4 linked regions of the Arabidopsis thaliana genome follow. The protein of the gene in region 3 interacts with the protein of the main gene of each other region in a pairwise test. Each region holds a gene or a part of one and is shown on either strand. Other genes may lie near its edges. The genes, in order: LSMT-L, APA1, BLH4 and ZFP8.

Evidence for each region.
Region 1: the proteins of BLH4 (region 3) and LSMT-L interact in a two-hybrid assay, tested with the Arabidopsis thaliana proteins (one large-scale study listed by BioGRID).
Region 2: the proteins of BLH4 (region 3) and APA1 interact in a two-hybrid assay, tested with the Arabidopsis thaliana proteins (one large-scale study listed by BioGRID).
Region 4: the proteins of BLH4 (region 3) and ZFP8 interact in a two-hybrid assay, tested with the Arabidopsis thaliana proteins (one large-scale study listed by BioGRID).

Annotation. Positions count from the first base shown.
Region 1 is NC_003070.9:4,804,794-4,809,136, reverse strand, and holds LSMT-L (Rubisco methyltransferase family protein), read left to right. Parts: upstream 1-1,619; 5' UTR 1,620-1,696; coding exon 1,697-2,160; intron 2,161-2,250; coding exon 2,251-2,279; intron 2,280-2,405; coding exon 2,406-2,617; intron 2,618-2,732; coding exon 2,733-2,855; intron 2,856-2,943; coding exon 2,944-3,348; exon of another isoform or gene 3,349-3,428; coding exon 3,429-3,644; 3' UTR 3,645-3,831; downstream 3,832-4,343. Other genes in the region: AT1G14020 (O-fucosyltransferase family protein), read right to left, coding at 4,026-4,293. UniProt on the Arabidopsis thaliana protein: Protein-lysine methyltransferase methylating chloroplastic fructose 1,6-bisphosphate aldolases. Can also use with low efficiency gamma-tocopherol methyltransferase as substrate, but not a cytosolic aldolase.
Region 2 is NC_003070.9:4,016,174-4,022,585, forward strand, and holds APA1 (aspartic proteinase A1), read right to left. Parts: upstream 4,593-6,412; 5' UTR 3,824-4,592; coding exon 3,796-3,823; intron 3,707-3,795; coding exon 3,354-3,706; intron 3,270-3,353; coding exon 3,209-3,269; intron 3,024-3,208; coding exon 2,929-3,023; intron 2,845-2,928; coding exon 2,732-2,844; intron 2,649-2,731; coding exon 2,480-2,648; intron 2,394-2,479; coding exon 2,354-2,393; intron 2,222-2,353; coding exon 2,157-2,221; intron 2,066-2,156; coding exon 1,952-2,065; intron 1,852-1,951; coding exon 1,787-1,851; intron 1,670-1,786; coding exon 1,513-1,669; intron 1,416-1,512; coding exon 1,296-1,415; intron 1,206-1,295; coding exon 1,117-1,205; intron 1,031-1,116; coding exon 946-1,030; 3' UTR 539-945; downstream 1-538. Other genes in the region: AT1G11905 (B-cell receptor-associated protein 31-like protein), read left to right, coding at 1-49; AT1G11915 (wall-associated receptor kinase galacturonan-binding protein), read left to right, coding at 5,657-6,412. UniProt on the Arabidopsis thaliana protein: Involved in the breakdown of propeptides of storage proteins in protein-storage vacuoles. Possesses aspartic protease activity in vitro.
Region 3 is NC_003071.7:10,107,176-10,115,019, forward strand, and holds BLH4 (BEL1-like homeodomain 4), read right to left. Parts: upstream 5,831-7,844; 5' UTR 5,711-5,830; exon of another isoform or gene 5,604-5,710; 5' UTR 5,562-5,603; coding exon 4,605-5,561; intron 3,838-4,604; coding exon 3,446-3,837; intron 2,444-3,445; coding exon 2,227-2,443; intron 1,250-2,226; coding exon 776-1,249; 3' UTR 534-775; downstream 1-533. UniProt on the Arabidopsis thaliana protein: Transcription factor that establishes leaf shape by repressing growth in specific subdomains of the leaf. Negatively regulates knox homeobox gene KNAT1/BP expression.
Region 4 is NC_003071.7:17,505,765-17,509,117, reverse strand, and holds ZFP8 (zinc finger protein 8), read right to left. Parts: upstream 1,776-3,353; 5' UTR 1,563-1,775; coding exon 789-1,562; 3' UTR 502-788; downstream 1-501. UniProt on the Arabidopsis thaliana protein: Probable transcription factor required for the initiation of inflorescence trichomes in response to gibberellin and cytokinin. Is not involved in the regulation of trichome branching. Is functionally equivalent to GIS2.

The sequences.
Region 1 (4,343 bases), on a different chromosome or scaffold from region 3:
CTCGAACTAAAGGAAGCCTTTTCACCTAGCCATAGAATATACATATACAATACCATTTGTAGTTAAATTTAATAACTATCCTATTTATATGAGTTTTTAAAAAAAAAAAAAAAAGAGTAAAGGTAAGATATCTGTTTGGCAACGAACTAAGAAAATATATTTTAGAGGGATGAATTTTGTTGACCAACCTGAATTGTGTCAATCCGACCACCACATCATGTCGTCATCCCGATATTGACCGCGTTTTGTGGTTTTCGTGAGAAGTGTTTTCTCAGTCTCTGATTTAAAATTGCGATTAGTGAGTTGTTTTTCAGGTTTACCACACGAGTTTCGGCGCGACAAGCGGTTCCGTTAGAAGAGTTTATGTTCTTGACATTTGATATTTTGTATGACAAATTAGTACTTATTACATTTTGACAAAGAAAAATACACTCTATTGAAACAGTCTAATTGCATATTAACAACTAAAACAGTCTTGTTGCCAATTTTGGAATTTTGAACAATTTTTGAAAGTAATGAAAAGTCATTCACGTGTCTCCCATCTCAAACTTAACACGTTATATTAGCAAAAGTAAACTGATCTTAATCAATATCGACGTTGTACCTTAATTTCATGGACCAAGTTATTGTCTAAAACTTAAAATAGCGGCCATTTCGACGGAAAAAAGTAGCAATAAACTTTGGTTTTCTCGTTAATAATTAAAGTTATATCAGAAACATATTTGGAATTGATCATAATCTTAATTAAGCCGAGAGAGTGTAATAGGTTTTGTTTTGTTTTTTGATAAGAGTGTAATAGGGTTTCTGATAGGTATCACATTACACATGTACCTTACTGGTCTCATATCCCGTGGTCAAGCCGGCAAAACAAGAGAAAGGAAAGTTCCGCTTTTACATGTGATTACTACGTACGTACCATTACCTATATTACAAAGTAAATTACTTGTCTTCTACGTTGATGGAGAATAGTGGATCATTGTACCCCCTAAATTACAAATTTAAGACTAATTTCTATTTGATTAAGAATAGTGAATAAGACTTGTATATTTGATTCTTCAATTACAATAAGTATTTTAGCACACAATTAAATATGAACTACTTAAACACATAATTAAATCAAAAACATTTGAATTAGACCACTTGATATTATGATGATGATGATGATTATGAAGGTATGTGTGATATGGTGGGTACATACTACATATATGTCTCGGCCAATCTCTTTTGTTGTTGTTGTTGTTGTTGTTGTTGTTGTTGTTGTTGTTGTTGTTGTTGTTGTAACATGTTGCATTATCTTGGAGGAATTTAGAATGAATATTGGGATCTCCATGAGATGTTACCTATTTAAAACTCAAGTGTCAAGTCAGTAGATTTGAGGTTGAAGCTATAGTTGACCATTTTTCTTCTTACAAAGGTTGAGATGACAAAAAAAAAAAAGAAAAAGAAGTTGAAGCTACCATAAGTTAAAAAGATAATTTTTTAAAAATGAAAATAAATACAGACAATTAACAATTTAATTACATCAGAACAAAAATAAAATGTAGGCCTTGGCCTTTTAGAATAATGGGCCTTTAACATTGGTAACTAGAATAACTAGATTTTTGTCTCATCAACAACTTAGAAAAAACTGATGTGATATTATTGTTATCCACACACTCTCTGTTTCACTGATACTACCCGCCATCGGAAAACCACCATGTCAGCCTCCGTCGCCGTCGTGTCGGGTTTTCTCCGTATCCCGTCAATTCAAAAGTCTCAAAACCCTTCCTTTCTCTTTTCTCGACCCAAGAAATCTTTGGTGAGACCCATTTCAGCTTCAAGCTCAGAGTTGCCGGAAAATGTTCGGAATTTCTGGAAATGGCTCAGAGACCAAGGAGTCGTATCCGGGAAGTCTGTGGCAGAACCTGCGGTGGTACCGGAAGGTTTGGGACTTGTAGCCAGGCGTGATATTGGAAGAAACGAGGTCGTATTGGAGATTCCCAAGCGATTGTGGATAAACCCAGAGACAGTGACTGCTTCCAAGATTGGACCTTTATGCGGCGGATTAAAGCCGTGGGTTTCAGTAGCTCTGTTTTTGATCAGAGAGAAGTATGAAGAAGAGTCTTCATGGAGAGTTTATCTTGATATGCTTCCTCAATCTACTGATTCTACTGTCTTCTGGTGGGTTTTGTCCTTCTCTGATCATCAATTGTATCTCTGATCAACACTAAGCTGATGAGATGTCTTCTTCGTGAAATGTCTCCAGTACAGGTCAGAAGAGGAGCTTGCTGAGCTTAAAGGTCCATTTTCTTACCCTTTTCTTTGAAAAGTCTGATCATTGTTTAGATTCATACCAATTGGTCTGAGTAGCAGTAGCTGATGATGATGTACATTATTAACTTTGTGGTTACTGTTGTTTGGCTCAGGGACTCAACTGTTGAGCACCACATTGGGTGTGAAAGAGTATGTGGAGAATGAATTCTTGAAACTGGAACAAGAGATATTACTGCCTAACAAAGATCTCTTCTCATCCCGCATAACACTTGATGACTTCATATGGGCGTTTGGGATCCTCAAGTCGAGGGCTTTTTCTCGTCTCCGTGGCCAAAACCTTGTCTTGATCCCTCTTGCAGACTTGGCAAGCTATCTTCTTGTTTCAGATATTGTCTAGTGAAAACTTCAGAAAATAATCTTCATTCATTGATGCTTGGCTCAGCAGAGAATCTCTGACTTCAATGTTTGAATTTGAACAGATAAACCATAACCCCGCGATAAAGACAGAAGATTATGCATACGAGATCAAAGGAGCCGGCCTTTTCTCTAGAGATCTCTTATTTTCCTTGAAGTCACCTGTTTATGTTAAAGCAGGTGAGCAGGTATGCTCCAAACACTGTCTACTTAGTTTTCTCCCTCAAGAGTGTAAGAACAAGCCCTTTAATACTGTTTGGATGATCTCTTCCATAGGTATACATTCAGTACGATCTGAACAAAAGCAATGCAGAACTTGCTCTCGACTATGGTTTTGTGGAATCAAACCCTAAACGGAACTCATATACTTTAACAATAGAGATACCAGAATCAGACCCATTCTTTGGGGATAAGTTGGATATTGCTGAGAGTAACAAGATGGGTGAGACCGGATACTTTGACATAGTAGACGGCCAGACTCTTCCCGCTGGTATGCTTCAGTACCTTCGGCTTGTGGCTCTTGGCGGTCCAGATGCTTTCTTATTAGAATCTATCTTCAATAACACCATATGGGGTCATCTTGAATTGCCTGTAAGTCGTACAAACGAGGAACTCATATGCCGTGTTGTCAGAGATGCCTGCAAATCTGCTCTGTCTGGTTTTGATACGACCATTGAAGAGGTATATATGTTCGAGCTCTTACTTGTACTGTCTTTGCAGCTTAACACTCATTTCTTACTCGTCTTCATCGTCTGTTGTAGGATGAGAAGCTTCTGGACAAAGGAAAGCTTGAGCCTAGGTTGGAAATGGCTCTCAAGATAAGGATTGGTGAGAAGAGAGTGCTTCAGCAAATCGACCAAATCTTCAAGGATAGAGAGCTTGAACTTGACATTTTAGAGTATTACCAAGAGAGAAGGCTCAAAGATCTTGGGTTGGTTGGCGAACAAGGGGATATTATCTTCTGGGAAACCAAGTGAGAATTAGCTTAGCTTGTATAGCTTATCCTGCAGAACAAACTCAAGGCTAGAAAGAAAATCTTTACTGGTTTGGTCTCAGACCACATAGACTTGAATCAACCTCAAGACATCAGAGTTGAGAGACCACAATTTGTATGTTAGGCTATTGCCAAAAGCAGGCTTTTTGAAATTCTATAAGATGAGACATAATCTTCTTTTTAGTTACATCTTAATTTACGTAAAACTAAATAAATCAAGATCAGCAACTATGCAGGAAAATTGAAAAAAATTACAAACAAAAATGGAAAAACTCAGGGAAGGAACTATGCAGCTCCCGTTCAAGTGTTTGACATGCCGTCCTCTTGCGGAAGCAATGAGATATAATATGCTAAAAACATGACTTCAATGTGTTAAATTTCTATGGCCAAACAGGTCGTGGCAATTTGTACCTTCACAAAGACATTCTTGAGGATTTGCGTAGAAGTAATCTTCCTCCTTAGGTTTGTCAGAGATTACTCTTCGATGAGTAGGTGCTCCTGCTCGTCTCTCATGGGCTTCCTTGACTGCTACTGCAAACTGATCCCACGTGAGGGTCTTGTTGTGATGTAAGTCTAGTAGCTCCACGAGTCTCTTACGGTCAAGCAGGATTGTCTTCTTATATCCAAGGTATCTGCAAATTCAAATCAGATATAGACCAATAATGGTTATATAGAATCACAG
Region 2 (6,412 bases), on a different chromosome or scaffold from region 3:
CACTGTGGATTCGAAACTTTCGCGTTCAAGCAGCAAAAAGAATACTTGAGAGACCTTATTCCAACACTTGAAACTTCTTTGCGATTCTGCCGTCTGAATATATATGTTTCGAGTTTGATATCAGGAGCTTGTGGTTTGGTGTTATCGCATCTTGTTAACATGGAAGATGATTGGGAAAGATCAGAGAATACAAAACAAGTATAGGTTTGCTTCTTGTTTAAGTGTTTAGCTAAGGTAGAAATTAATCAATTCTTCTGCTATAGGAAACTGTAACTCGTTGTAACTTGTTCATTTCGCAACAAAAACTTCTCGAATTGGTTCTTATTTCCTTCCATATACGTATACAGTCGCTGCAAGTGGGTTGTCATTATAATTTCTCATAAGTTCACAGACTTGTTCAAAATAGATACTTGTTCCGAAATTCAGGAAGGATGCTGCAAGCTTCGTGTTGGGGAATTTACCTCGCTCTTGACGAATTATTAAGGTTTTAGAAAATTGGGTCTCAAACAGTCTATCAACTTAAAATGCATGTTTCAAGCAGGAACGTTCTTCAATATATGACAAATAACTATTATCATCGTGACTTTTTGACGTAGGAATTTATGTGGTTAGAAAATGAAGATAAAGCGAGCTTGACCATTTTCAAATTTTTTATGCTACACCGTTTTTACCGAACCATTTGATACAACTTACTAAGCATAAACAAAAGAGGCAGGCTTTATTAAAGTTTTCAGTTTTTTCACCATCGAACTTACTTAGAAGGTATTTACAAAGCCAATGCCTTCAAAACTACAAAGGCCTTTTTTCGTTAGGAAACAACTTAAAAGGAACTGCGCCACCATTTCTACTACGACTCAAAGTCCTCAACTCCAGAAAACATACAAACAACACTTGAGACGCAGATTGTTCATACTAAAACCATACGCGACACCAACCCGATCGTGTTTAGGCTGCCTCTGCAAACCCGACCTGTTCGTTACCAAAGTCAAATACGGTGTGGTATTTGCCCATGAACACATCTCCCAAGATCCTGTTACATTTTTACCACCGTTCTTAGGGTTAGAAAAAGAAAGCAAGAAGAAATTGTGCTACAGAGTAATAGATTCAATGGTTTACCAGAGAGGTCCACGAGGTGGAGCAACGTCAAGAGCAATAAAACCACTGATGCACTGTGCCACAGGTCCCTCACCAACTTTCAGAACATACTGCTCACATCATACCAGTACAACAGATTAGTAGATGGTCATATTCACTACATAATATGAATGTTGTCTTTAAATAGTTCACTATCATACCTCTTCTGGAGCAAGATCAAATACTTTGCCTCCAATGGTAAGTGAAACAGTGGGCATTGTTGACAGTTGTGCACAGTCAACTGCAGACTCTCCCATTGGGCTGGGGAGGCGTTCACATAGCTGTTAAGAAAACCCACAGTAGCGATTTATAATCAGTAATCAGGACAACAATAACTACTGTTTCACAAAAGTCTTGAAATGACAACTTATTGGTTACCTCGTTGACGTAGTTCAATATGCGCTCTTGAGTCATGTTTTGCCTCAACTGGCTCTGGATCCACACAACAGCCATCTCACATGCAGAACACGCAGCATCTCCAACACCATTAGACAATTTGGCGTTTTCCTTGTCCACCACCGACTCAATGCCCATACTAGATAATTTATAAACAAAATCATACTAAATATGAGCAGATCACACGGAAAAACAAACAAGCATTCCAAAATGAAGATCCTAGCTTAATGGCAATGACTACAGATTATAACTTTACCTGACACCACGGGTACCATCAAAAGTACACAGACCAATCTGCGAGCAGATTTTCTTCGGTTGGGTCTGCAAGGCGCAAGGGGGATGAATGGTAAGCCAAAATAATTTGCACAGCATATGACTTGTCACAGATTTTATTAGCTAGTCCAATATTAAGCACACTAACCTCAGACAAAAGTAAATCCAAAATGGTCTGCCCGTATTGATCCACAACAGTCTTGCACTGCTGGCTAACAACTCCAGCTGCTCCAATAGCATGGTTTATCATGGTGATTATAGTCTACACAGGGAAAAAATTGAAATATTACTACATATACTAGTTAAAAAACCATAATTCTATAAAGCTATAAGCAATTTTAATTCTTGCTTACCGTTGGACCGGCAAGCAAAGATGTACCAGAATCTGCTATCGCAGAACAGCCACTTTCACAGAACCCTGTATAACAGTAACTCAAACTTTAGAACCAGTTGTCACCAGCAAACATAAATAGCAAAACCTTTTTGAATTTGTCAGGAAAAGCTATATATATGTGTTATAAAGAACAACGCCAATCAGTGTTACACATACCAGTGGGTGCACCGCCAATAAGAACATCACCCATGTCAAACTATAACAAAATATATATAGCTTGAGTTAGATCGTCACTGGAAAACGTTATGAGAAAACCAGACAAGGAAGTGATGTATCACAAACCTGCCAGTAGCCCTTTTGTGTCACAGGAACATATGTATGTTTGCCCTTGAAATGATTTGGATCAACACCTCCAAATACAAGTTCACCACCTTCTTCTTCATCTGCATTACGGTTAAGCCAAAATGAAAAAACCGGCTCCTTGATAAGGCCTTGCTTGAGCATGTTGTACCTGTAAAAAACAAGACATATTAGCATTAACACTACAGGAATGTAGTAACTCAGTCCAAACAAGAGAAGAATGTGCAGGCATACCAAACAGGAGCAGCTTTTCCAACAGAGATCTCTTGGAATCCAAGACCAAGGATACCATCAAATTTAGCTACAACAAATGTTATACCAGGCTCCTTGGTTGCCTCGATAAACTCCTGATGAGATAGACAAATGTTAAGAAGGAGGTCATTGATGTGTATGTTGTAAGAGTACTGATTAGGGTCGGACATATAGTTTACCTGATCCTTGACAACTAAATCGCCAACTGTGACAGCATCATTACTAAAAAAACCAGCAATTGCTCCAGTGCCGTAATGAATTGCGGCAGCTTTTCCTGCATCAAAGATGAGCAAGTTAGTTATAACCTAGCAGCTGCTATCAGTAGTGATGTTGCATCTTTTAACAATGGTTTTCTGCACATTAACATGAATTCTAGAGGCTACATTGAGTGAACTGTAAAGTATCTACCAACTGGGAAATCCAACTGCAAAAAATTTCAAGTTAAGAGAGAGAACAAACCATTCTTCTCATATGTGCTTGAACGAGACGACTTGTATTTGGGATGCAAGAGACATGCAAGCTGCAAAAGAGATAGAACACAATTAGTTTTCTACTCAAAAGTATCTCAACCACAGCTAACAACAATAGTCCAAATGTTGCTTACTGAGAAATAGCATTTTGATGATGGCACCCAGAGGTTAGAGCTCCCAGTGTCAAAAACCACAGTGAACTTCTGAGGTGGAGTACCAATGGCGATCTCACCATAGTACTGAGCATCTAGATAATTCTTAAGCACAACAACATCAGCATCTCCAGAATCTCCAAGTCTGTAAGCTCTCAGGGGCTTTTCTTGCTTGGATTCGACGCGTGCTGCAAGCCGATTTTTCGAATCCAACTTGAGTTTTTTCAGTCCAACTCTGAAGGTCCCGTCATTGCGCTCAGCAAAGGCAGAGAAACACAGGAGGAATGACACAATGAGTGAAACAGCAACCGTTCTAGAGTATATCTTCATTTTACCTATTCATTGACAACAAAAACCAAAAACATAAAACAAAGAAAGTTAGAATCAAGAGACCATCACAGAGAAAAAAAGCAGAGAACCATACCCATAAAAGTCAACCAGTATGTATACATATATTTATATCAGAGAGTTCATATTGAATGATGCAACATAAAAGAAAATTTGTAAAGTGACTAAAAATAGGCTAACTCGGTCCTCCTCCTCAAACAGATAACGAAGGACAATGTTACACGCAATATATTGTACAAACTACAAATTATTAGTTTAATTGGTCTCTCTCAATCAGCCACGAAGCAATAGCGTGGAAGCAATAAATAAAGTAAAAACTCTCTTGACTTTGCAAATGACTAAAGACTTCTTTTGCTAGAGAAAGTGATATAAACCTTGAAATCGACATTTGCTTGCCGAAATCAGAAAGCAAATACCCAGATTACAACAAAACCCTAAACATCCGTTCCTATAAACCTTTTCAACATAAATGGAAAGTTTTGTTCAATAAGACAAGCAATCTAGTAAAAAAAGGAAACAATCTCAATTGCACCAAGACTCACATGCAACATAATTGATTCATAAGACACTGAAAATCGCCACAATCGCGACAATAACAAGAGCATGAAATTTATTTTCTTCTTCTCAATCAACTAAAAACGATCACAACTATAATCGATAAATCTTCAAGTAAACAGTCCGATTACGTAATCAAACAAACCTAAAACCCCAAATAAATTCATACCACCGATGAAACCAAAATTAGCCACAAACCATACACAGATCACAAAATCTAAGCGAGTCTACTAATCACATCATACAATCATCCAGATTCAAAATCGAAGAACATGAAATTCGGTAACAAAACTCTTACCTAACTGCTCAGAAAACGATTTATGAACAAATCCACGAGTATTAAGGACAATAAATTAAGCAGAGAACTAAAAGTATAAGACAATCAACGAGAAGAGAATCGATAAGTTTCATAAGAAAGAGAGCTCACCAAAGCTAAAGCACCAGATTCTCAGAGAAATGAGGATTTTTGTTGAAGAAAACGAGAAGAGAGATGGTTACATTTATTTGCGAAGAAAGAGATGACTGTGAGGAGGGATAATGCTAAATTAACCGCGCTGTCTCCTAAATGGACAATTACAGGTGGAGGCCCACTGTATAATCCCGTCAAAAAAAAAAAGGAGATTTCGTGTGGGCTAATGTTTCGTTATTAGCCGTTGGATCTCTATATTGAACGATTGGATTTAATCGTTGACGGATGGATAGGAAGGCGTAACGTATCAAGTTTTATATTTAGTGAGAAATCACGTGTTTACGAATTTAGAGTGGATTACGTGCTCCTTGGAATACTAACCGTTGGATTGAGATGACTGAAATTGAACGGTTTCGATTAAAGAGTTCACCTTACATGGATAATGATCAATGTGTTGTTTATATTGGGCCTATGAGAAGCCCAATGTGTTGTTTACATTGAGATTATCTTCCAAAGATTACTTCACAAATCACAACCCTTTAAACGAAATTCTAAATAAAAGAAAATTCAAAACTATTATATACTGAAATTACTATTTTGTATTTTATAAGGTTCTCATACATTTTATTTTTTTTGTTAAATGGTTTTTAGATAACATGTTAAAGAACAAATTTTGTTGTAAAATATCAGAAAAAAGAATAGTACGTTTGTTGACATATTGTATGTAAATATTTCAAATAATCTGAAACAAAACCACGAGTCCTCTTGGAATACTTTATACTAAAAAGAAAGGTGAAATTTTAAAAACAAACCGAAACCTAAAATAAGCAATATTAACAAGCACATGACAAGATTGATTCTTAAACTCTTTAACAAGACATTCCAAGCTTACTCAACACTTCACACCACCAAATTATAATCTCATAACTAAAAACTACCCAATAATCAAATCTAAACTCCTAATTTTTGAACAATGTCTCCACTTCACTCTTACATTATCTTCTTCTCCCTTCTCATGACCATCCTTCTTCAATCATCAACAACATCATCCCAATCAAATCTCTGCAGATCTTCTTGCGGCAACATTCCGATAAATTACCCTTTTTCCATCGACGACGGTTGTGGTAGCCCTTATTACAGACACATGCTCATTTGCTCCGACAACGATACCAAGCTCGAACTTAGAACACCATCTGGTAAATACCCTGTTAAATCTATAAGCTACTCTGATCCTCACCTTCTTGTCTCCGATCCATTCATGTGGAACTGTCAAGATCGAGACAATTTTCGACCCACTAGATCTTTTAGCATCGATTCAAGTACACACTTCACTGTCTCTCCTCAAAACGACTACTTGTTCTTCAACTGCAACACCGATAAAGTTATCGTCGAACCAAAACCGCTCTTCTGCGAAAGGTTTCCAGATAGATGTGACTCGTCCTGCGATAGTTCTAGCTATCTATGCAGACATTTGCCTGAATGTGGCTCTGCTTTGGGATCTAGGGTTTCTTGTTGTTCGTATTACCCTAAAGCGACTCAATCTCTTAGGCTCATGCTGCAGGACTGTGCGACGTATACAAGTGTGTATTGGAGGAGTACAGGTGTGGAGAATGCACCGTATGATCAGTTTCCAGAGTACGGGATAAGGGTTGATTACGAATTTCCAGTGACAATGAAGTGCCTTCTTTGCCAAGAAACGACTAAAGGTGGTGGAGTTTGTGGGTTTAAT
Region 3 (7,844 bases):
TAATGTCCCTTTGTAGAACTAAAACGTCTCCGTCTCGATTGACATATCCCCCAATATGACATGTAACCAAACCTTTGGAGTTTTGGATAATTGTTTCTCAGAGAAAAAAACTAAAGAACCTAACTCAAAAGATTATTTGTTTTCTTTTTAAACAAATATGTCACGTTTTTCTTAACTATTTTACTATAAACTGAAGATAATACAATTGTTAATAAGTCGATCGGGTACGTACCAAGTATATTTTGTTGCTATTACTAAATTAAGGAGCACATAGTTGTAGTAAGTAGGGATTAGTTGAGATGATTAATTTGATATTACAAGGAAAGTGATGTGACTTATTGGCGCTTTCCTAAAAGACTGTTGTCGCTTATTAGCAAAAATCAAATGGAAGAATCCAATAAATGCTACACGAAATTTAGTTTCCAGAAAATATATGTACATAATCATAATCTAAAACAAAATTTAGAGTAATTTGGCAGGGGTATTAATATGAACAAAAAATTAGTATGAACAAAACTATACAAAAATGTAAGGATATAAGTTTCATGAATAAAATAAAAATATGTGCATAATTATATATGGAACTTTGGTAGCTAGATCTCACTTGATATATGTATATCTCTCTTCTTCTTACGACAGAAAAGACAGAAAAAAAAACTAAAGAAGAAAGGAAATTTTAAAAGTATGTGAAGAAACTAAAAACATATATCGATAAACCAAAAAAATAAAATTCACTATAATAAATTTTGATGAATAAATTGAGAAACAAAGAAGACTAAAAATCTCCAAAGTCTCTAACGGAGAAAGAAGTGTTCTTATCAGGAATATTGCCAGAGTGGCGTAGACCAAGCGTAAGAGACACGTCACCAGTCTGTTTGGTCCCGAATCTTATGACGTTCACACCATCTCCGTCGACGTGGAAGTCACTGACGTCTTGCTGACACGTGGCGACGGTGAACGCGTCTGAACCGCCGTGAGAAGCGGCGGCGACGGAAGAGAGGAATGAAGAGTCGTTTTCGTGATGTGTCGATGTCATCGTCGTTGGAGTTTGTGCGGTTATGACAGTGAAGTTGTTTTCATTGTTGTTGGGTTTCGTGTCGTTGTTGTTTGTTTGTTGCTGTCTTCTTTGTTGTTGTTGATTTTCATTTTCTTCTTCTGCTTCTTCTCTTTCTTTTGCTTCTTGTTGATACATCTCTTCCACCATTGGTTTCCATAGGCGAACCCTAGCATTTATGAACCAATTTGACACCTGAAAAAACGAGACATATGAACTAATATTAATCACAATTTACTCTTAACAAGTTTATAATATTAAAAGAAACTTAACTTTTAGAAGGAAAAAAAAACTTTTCAATGAAATGTGAAATACTCCTTTTTACATTAAATATGGTTTTGATTGTTTTTGTATATACTTCATTTGTTTTATATTAAGTAAAGTTAAAATAATAAGTCATTTACTGTGAAGAAAATTAGTTTAAACAAATGAAACAAAAAAAATAGGATAGCTAAAACCTTAAGTTAAAATGATAGGAAAGGAGTAAAAATTATGATACATGTGTTTCCTTTGAGACATCTATTAAAAAGAAGATATATATTAAATTTTTCATTATATTCTTACAAGAACAAGATAACTTTTGACATGTTTCAAGTAATTTTGATTTGATGTTAACTTATGTATTTACTGAAAGGCTTAGATGAAATTTCTAAATTAAAAATTTGAAACATAATAATGTTTTTTTATTTGAACACATGAAACATAATAATGTTAAAACAACAATTTGAAGGTTGAAATATACTAATGGATATTTGAAGCCAAGTGTAATAAACTACTTGTGATGTAAATAATTAATGTGTACAAGACTTAGAGGTCTGCTAGTTAACATTGAAATGAAAGCTTCAAACTTTCATGTACTTGAGAAATACTTACATCTCTCTCTCCTATGTTTTATATATCCTTGTGTGTGTAAGTGTAGATAATGTATTTAATGAAGAAAACGAACCCCAAGAAAAACAAATGATTCGTGATATTGAAAATCCATGCAAGAGAATAGACATGAAGCCACTCATGTCAGATTTTGCATGATGAAATGATTGATATATATGGTAAATTGTGAGTTAAGTACATATATGTAAATGAGTAATTAAAAGGGTTCTTGTATGATAAGTATGAAAACATATTATATTAAAAAAATATTGATGTATGTATCTATATAGATAAAGGCTGACCTGATTTCTGGATAAACCAGTCTGTCGTGCTAAGAGGTGCTTATCAGCATCGCTTGGGTACCTGAGAAAGAGACCAGAAAATGACTTCACAATCTTTAGAACCCTAAACCAATAATTTTTTTCTTTTCTCTTTTTTTGAATATAGATAGAGAGGAAAAACACAATCAAGTAGATGCAAGAAAAGGTACAAACTTTCTCCTTACAAGGGCGTGAGAATCTAAGGGACAAAAGAAAAAGCTGATTTCAGAATAGAAGCATTTTATTTTATTTTTGTATCTTAACTTATTTTTCATCATAAAGCAAAATATTTATCTGTACAACTCTTCTCTTCTTTACTTCACTAACAACAAAATAGTAAAATTCTGCAGACATTAAATAGAGAAAGTACTGATGAATAATGACAGAAGAAATTGCTTTTTTCAGCTTTTAGATTTTTTTTTTCCTCTTTTTGATTTCTGTCTTTCTTAAGGGACAATATACCAATGAAACTGTACCACTGACAAATCTGAGACTTATTTTTTTGTAGTTATGTTAATGGCATTGTTACTTCTTTTGATAATAGTATGTGGAATGAATTAAAGCAAATTAAAGAAAAAAAAACTATAAAGGAAAGGTTAGGCAGAGACAGAGAAACCCTTAGGATGCTATTATGATCCCAAAGCATAAAAGTTTGCGATCTCACTCTGCAAACTTCTTTTGTTGCATTAATTATTTAAACCCTTTAATTTGCCATGCAATATAACCTACATTAATATAAATATAAACATACAGTTTTCATGAAAGTCTCCTAGTCAATGAATTGTTACCCTTGTTATTTTGGAGTACTCTTAGCTGACCATTCTTATGGGTGGTATGAAAAGGAAAAAATATTTGATATTTAAATTTTTATTAGTAGTAATAAACATAAAATAATCAAACTCAGTGAAGAAACGGAACTTCATTTTACAAAAATTATTTTGGTTTTCTAAAAAAGCCAGCAGCTTTTAATTTTGATTGAAATAGAAATATATCTTCCCGCATAACAAAAGAGTTATAAAAAAAAAAATTTTTTTGTCACTTTCATAACTTAAGTTTAATAAACGTATATTAGTTAAAGTCTTGGTATCAATGCATTATGGTAGTCTACATTTTATAATGTATAGTCAACATTCAAGAAGATTAGTATTATCGAAGAATAAGAGTAGGTAAGTATTATTAAGGGATTAGAAAATGGACTTACGGATTAAGAAAATGCTCGAATAGCCAAGCTCTAAGGATATTAACGGAGCGTTCAGGCAAACCACGTTGCGGTCTCCATGCCTCTTGCTCCATCATACCCATATGATGAAACGCTCGTTGCTGACGCAAACTCTGCTCTAGCAAACGCAATCGCGGCGTTTCCCCTTTGGTTAACCCCGAGGATGCAGCCCCTGCCGCCTCTTTATCCCCTAGAAGCTCACAGCTGCGTTTAAGCTGAACCGCTACCGCGTCTTTCAAACACCGGAAATGCCTAGACATTGCCTTTTGAGCTAATGTCGTGTACGGAACCGCCGCGCCGTAACCCATTACTTGGTCGAATGAGTTCACTACCATTTGCATTTGTTCGCAGTAGTGGTTGTACCGTCGGTCCACCTACAAATTAAATTTTAAATAAATGAACTATACATAGATGAGTTCTTGTTTTTTTTTTATTAGCTCAATTTCTAAGATAAAATATAAACCTCAAGTGATTAGTTCGTTTAGATACTTCAATGTGTTATCTTCTCTTGCTAACAATTTATGCTATCTTGGAACATATACTAAATTCTTGAAAGAAGATAATGTCAACTACAAAATAAATTGTAAGATAAATAATGAAGTAACTTCAAGGACTAGTTTTGGTTACGTAGTGAAGGTGGCTAGCTTATATGGAGAAGGAAACTCTAATTTAAAATTTATGGTTGTGAAGACTAAATCACTTAATCAATCATATATTAATTTCTTATGTTAAATTTGATTAAGCGATGCCACCAAACGCGTGACACAAAATATGCATTAATATATCAAATTAGACCATATAACACCATATAATGATATTAGTTAGAAAAATTATATAAGTGATAGTAGGATTGCGTAATCAGGCTTTACCAACTAGAGCATGTGTCGTGCTCTTGTACCAGTCGGTCATTCTCTATACATTTATTTTTTTAAGAAAATAACATATATAGAGTTTATGAAAATATTGGTCGATTTAGAATTAATTATATAAGAAGAAAAAAATCACGAAGAAAAATAAAATTTTGTAGCGATTGATATGAAATTGGTTGTTTGATCAATTCAATCATTAGAACGGTTCATTAAAAGTTTGATAGAAAATTAATTAGTTTGGTTAGAGAAAAAATATTGAGTGAAAACGTTACCTCTTCAAGCATAGATAGTAGCTTGACTTTTCTTCTTTGATGTTCAATCCGATCAGCCGGAGACAAAGGAGGACTATCATTAGCTGTTCCGGCCGATGACGAGGACCCTCCGCCTCCTCCTCCACCGGTAGTATTAGGGTTTGAGTTGTTCCTACTAAGTTTGTTCTTCTTGAAATGTCCTCTTCCAACACTACAAAACTCTTCCAACAACTCTTGAGCCGGTTTCGTATATTTCGAATTCCTCAACGTGTAGATCCCTCCAATGGATGAAGAAGCCGCCATGGGAGATGATGATGATGAACCAAAATGTCCAACAACTTGATGGTGATGATGTTGAGAAGAAGAATTCTCAAGAAGAAGATTCTTGAACTGATTGAATTGATGATGATGAGCGGATGCGTTAGAAGAAGAAGAAGTTCCATCAACGGCTGCACAATAAATGCTTCTATATTCCTCGGCTTTAGCTGCGGCTAATGAAGATGAGAGAGATAAAGACAAACCCTTTCCTCCTTCCACGTGGACGGTTCCGATCATATCTCGGTTTTGATGATGATCGGAGGAGGAAGATGGCCATGTAAAGTGTTGTTGTTGCTGCGGCTGCATAGTGTTTTCGTCGGTGAAAGCAAAACCTTGATGATGATTTGGTAATAACATATGAAGAGTTGAGTTATTGTTGTTGTTGTGACGGTTTTGTTGCTCTAGCAACTGTTTAGTAGACTGATCAAGAATCTCTCCACCGGAACCGCCGCCACCTCCGCCAGGGTAAGCAAACATTTCAGACAACATTCCGGCGGTTTCATAAACCGGAATTTGAGCACCGGAGACGACGGCGGATTCATCTACTTCCTCTTGATGAGTGGTTGATGATGATCGGTGGAATCCATTAGAGAAGGAAAAGATTCCTTGGTGATGATGATAATCTTGTGACATAGAAGAAGTTGTAGTAGCTAAACCCATATCTTGTTATTCATTATATCTTTTTTCCAAAGCTCTTGGATCCTGTAAGGATTCAGACATACACAGAGAATCTTATATAACACATACAAAAAAAAAATACAAGAAAAAGAAAGAGAGAGAGAGAGAGAGGAGTCAACTAGGTATTATACAGTTTTTCTCCAATCTCTTTCTTGTAACTCTTTTAAGGTTCTCACTTTCAGCTTCGGTCATCATCTACATATATGGTATAGAGAGAGAGAGAGAGAGAGAGAGGAAGTACCTTGGAGTTGCAGAGAATTAAAGAAATGATTGATGATGAGCTTATAGCTATCGTTTTCTTCTATACCTCTCTCTCTAGCTTTCTTTTTCTTGAGTACTCTTTTTATTTTATATTTCTCTGTTAGTGAGAGTTTTTATTCAGCAAATTCTGCAAAACCAAAAACTTATAAAAAAATCTCTCCCAAAGAGAAAGGAAGAGAGAGGGAAGAGAGAAGAAGAGGTCGCTGTTCTTTCTTCATCGCCTCCCTTTTTAACCCACCAATCTTCTTTAATATTTTTTTGTTATTAAAATCTTGATTTATCATTTTTTTATAATGAAGTATTTTTATAAACATCTTCTTTTTAATTTTAATCGGCAAAGGTTTCTTCATATCAATAACGATGAGGAGGAAAGACAAAAAAAAACTATACACATCCTGAAATTACGAAATTATCCTTGTTTTTTTTTCTTGTCTTTTTTTTTTGTCAACGTTATTATTTATTTATAAGAGAAAAAAAAACTTTTTATCACGGAAATGTCGGCTGATATCAACATTTTAAAGGAGTTAATTTGGAAACTAATTTATGAAAGCAAACTAAAAAGAATAGGAAGATAAGGTGAGTCCAAAGGTCATATCTCAATGAACCAAACCACCACCATAAATACTTCCACATATTTTTGTGCTTCAATATATTCTTATTTCGAGCCAAAATAAAATAAAATAAAATATTCTTATTTGACAAATTAAATACTTATATAATATTCCTATGATGCTCTCTAATTTTATTCTTTAATATTGTGTGTATTTGTTGTTTAGGGGAGACCTATGTCATTTTAGACTACTTTTTCATGTATGTACATTTATTCAATTAACTAATCATACGATATATCAAAAATCGATCAAATTATAATATGAAACAAATGAAATACATAAAAATCGATCAAATTATAATTACATTTTGGTAACATATGTGGCTAAATCAATTATTTTAAATTTCTTTGCAGAAACCGCTATATTACATCTATCATCACGAAATCGTAAAAAAAAAAGCATTAGAGATTACCTCAAGCTTGATATGATAAAGCAAAAATCTAGCTGCAAATCGAGGTTGTTTCATTTTGTGTTAATTGATTAGGAAATATCTCATTCTGTGTTAAACGATACTCTCAACTTTCAAAATATTATTTTATATCTATATTAATTAATAAAACTTTATCACTCAAAGATTATTGAAATTTTTTTAAAATTGCTTTTTAGATTACCCATTTTAAAAAATATCCCTTTAACAATAATATTTTTAAAAATACCATTGTTTTAAAAAAAACCTTGATGTTATGACAACATGCCTGATGACTAAACCTCCAAATCATCTTTACAAAATATTTACTAAAATCCAAAGATTAATCCTCTGCACGATTTCACGGTCGGCCGATAGCCTTTCACCATCATCGATGTTTGTAATATGTAAACCATCCACACACAACTAATGCATGGAAAAAACGAAATTTTATGGTTCTGTAGTTTCACAACTACACCTTCAGCTATCTCTTTTTCTAAACCTATACTTATAAAATTAATTTCAGCCATACATTATAATGACGTTGTATAGATACAAACACAATTATTTTCTGTTAAAATTAACGTATCATTAGTCATTACATTATCCTAGGTATATTAAATATTAAAAAAAAAAAAATTTCCAAAATCGATTTGACGTGCGTATCCATCCCACAAACAGTTAGAGAGACATGTTGGATATATGCTATGTAGGTTATAAATCCACAATAGGATAAATACTAATGGAAGGCTTGAAAGCAAAAGTGAAAAGCCCACTTGTATATATATCTATGGAGACTTATGTTGGAATCTATCATGCCAGAATCAGATACCAAATCGAAAATTGTGTAGCACGCAAATTTTTGTTTGAACTATTTACTTAATCTAAATTAATGCAAGTGATTTCTCAATAAATATTATTTTTTGCTAACGGATAATTTAGAATATTTTTGTTGCCTATAAGAAATTGGACTATTTCCTAAATTCA
Region 4 (3,353 bases), 7.4 Mb from region 3:
GTAGTTGATGATTCTCTTTGAACTGCCCAAAAAAAGGTTAGAAAAGAAACTAAAGAAGAAAGCTTTTGAGGAAAGGCTTTAGCTTTAGGTTCTGTGTGTTGAGAAAGATGTGAAAGCTCTATCTTTGGCTAACTCTACACTTGTAATCATGGACCACTTTCACTTCTCAACTCTCTCTCTCTCTCTCCCCTTTTGTCTTGTCCATTGTCTTCAGTGATCCCCACAGTCACCGAATCATCATCAACATCTGCATTTACCCATCCTTCGTTGCCTCTTGATTCGGTAAAAGACCGTTTTAATTAGACAGAGACCCTAAGCATTTTGTATCTAAAGAGTCTTCTGGGGTTTTTAATGGTTAAGACTTTAAATATCTCGACTGCAACAACAGAGAGAAAGTACGTGTGACTTCCATGGCCCTTAAATTAATGTTCCTCTTTCTCTGAAAGTTATAGAGAGTCTTGAAGGAAGCCATAACAGAACTCACAAATGAACAGATGAAATCAAACAAAAAAAACGATAATTATATCATTCACATTCACACACACGTGAGAGGAAATTAAACGGATGAACGAATTTTACTAATTAACCAAAATATTATTCCCTTTATTAATATAAACTCAGAATGTGAAAACCTCAAAAAGGTTCAAGATGATCTACACACCAAACCGGTTCTCGTTTTCTTTTTCTTTTTTTCAGTCTCCAACACTCTCAAAAGAATTGGCTTCACCGATCAGCGAGTCTCATATATCACAGCAATGATGGATGATAAAAAAATAAAATAAAAGAAGTCAGAGATGAAGATCGAGACTCACATGATCTTGCACATTGGGTTTCATCAATCTGTACGGCCAGTTATTAGGCTCCTTATTAGTCTCTTGCTCATGCGACCTAAACGCTGAAGCTGGTGAAGATGAGTAAACGCCTTGAATAGTATTTGTTGACGTGGAAGGCGGTACACGCCACAAACCTAAAGGACTTCCGTTGATTGTCGGTGGGTTAGAAGAAGGAGGAGCAAGAGTATTCCTTGAGTAGTACGACGGCGTTTGATGTCCCCCTCCGCCGTAGTATGATCTAGCTTCCGTCGTCCAAGACGGATAGTGACGGTGGTGGTGGTTGTTGAGGAAGCCGTAGATGTGGTGAGGGTCATGAGGCTGATGATGATGAAGGTATGATGTCATGGAACCGCGTTTGGCGTGTTGACGTTCACGTTTGTGAGCGTTTTGATGTCCACCTAGGGCTTGAGAAGTTGGGAAGTTTCTGAAGCAGTAGTGACACTCGAATCTCCTGTTGTTGTTGTTATCTTTGTCTTTGTCCTTATCTTTTTCTTTGTCTTTGTCCTTGATATTCTCAGAGCTCTCATCGTTCTTGGTAGTGGTTTGATGATCAGAAGGTTCTGCGGATAAGTTGTCGGAGTTATCACCGACGAGCTCTTGGCCGAAGAGACGAATAATGGCGGCTTTTTCTTTGGGAGGAGTACGGCGGATGAAAGGAAGCTGAGAGAAGGATTCAACGTTGACGTTCATGAAATCGTGAGTTTCTCTTCGTCCGTTGGTTTCGTCCATGGAAGAGAGAGATCAGGGAGAGTGAGTTTGAGAAGAATGAGGTTGACTGTTTCAGAGACAGAAAGACAAGAGATGAGGTTTTGCATTAATTTAAAGAGAGGTTCCCAAATTCTTTTTAAGGTAAATACATAATTGCTATTTAACCCCTGCAGCATGGCCGCGTGCGTGATTTTACGTTTATCCACCTATATATATATAGCTAAAGAATGATCCACATTTCACTTGTACATATTTTTCAAAATAAATAAATCTACTTCTTCATTAGTTTTTTTATGATCTCAATTTTTTCATTAGTATATTAGATTTTTCCTTTTGAAAATCAAACCTCATAGAATTTTAAAATTGACTCCATGGTGCATGTTTATATTTTATTTTTTTCGTTAGTTCATGTTTATATAAACCTGCAATTATGGTTGGAAAAAAAAAAAAACTAATTAGCGTATGGAAGCATAGGAGACGTAAATATGGGGTATATATGGAAGCATAGTACTATACTATATGATTACAGATTTATCTTGTGTTTAAATTGTAGCTTACTATGAATCTATACCGTGTGTCGCGGTAGGTAAAAATAGCCGGATAAAATCAATCAATATATAGGGAGACCTCTAATCTACATTCACTTCCCCTACGCAATATATCTCTCATTAGACATACATATACAAATATCCATCTCATCAAAAACAAACCCATCAATCCTCCTTTTTCAAAGTTATCTCCTTTTTAGTTAGTTGTTTCTTAAAGTGATTCCTGCAAATGTTGAAACTAAGACAAAAAGCTTACCAAATTGGTCGTAAGCAGATGAAATGGGGTCACAGTGAGTAATGAGATGAACTAAAAACAGTGAGAGTTTGTAGGTAAGAGATCATTAGCAAGGTGAAGTTAGGTGTGTACTCTTTAACATCACGGACCTATTTGGTTATTATGTCTACGTATAAGTACATGGATTTTACTACTAATAGAGAGAGAGAGAAATAGAAAGACCTAATTAAAGAGACTTCTTCTCTCTCAAGGACCATACTTTTAGTCTCTTGGATGTTTTGTCTCTTTGATGCAAAGATAATCTTACAGAGAGAGAGAGGTGGTCCATGTTCATGATCATTAATGATGCTCATAATCGACTAGTTGACATGTCATCACCAGATAGTTAACCAATTTAAAAGATTGAACCTTAATCGATGAGATCACATCATCTTATCAATATGTATGTAATCTGTTAATACTTATCAACTCGGATCGATCATATACACGTCTTCTTCAAATGAACTATATATATATATGTATTCTCTTTTTGTTCGTCTACACTAAATTTTTTGATATTTTGTAAGAATAATTAAATTTTAAATCCCATTAATTTTGATTATATATATTCCCTGATTATGTCACACAAATAATGTATATGTTGCTAATGTCAAGCTGGAATAAGGACTATAAAACTCATTAATCCATAAATTAATCTGACCTTTTTCATTTCTTTGACGACTCCCAAATTCCCAATTAAGTATGACGTTCAGTTAGTTGTTTTGAGCGGTAAAAATTTTCTCCTGTACAATGGTTGGAATCAAATTACTAAACAGTCTAAACTAATCCTACGAAAACTAAGATCTTGTAAACTAATGCTGATTGCTTACTATACACAGTATTCAAAGTTTTCATTTAGTACGTATCGAATCATCTCTTATCGTTCTATATACTCCAATATGGATCATCCATTTGTGGATAGATAAACTATTCCTTTTTTTTTGGTCAACAGATAAACTATTCTCTTATAAAAGTATTGTTATTTATAAT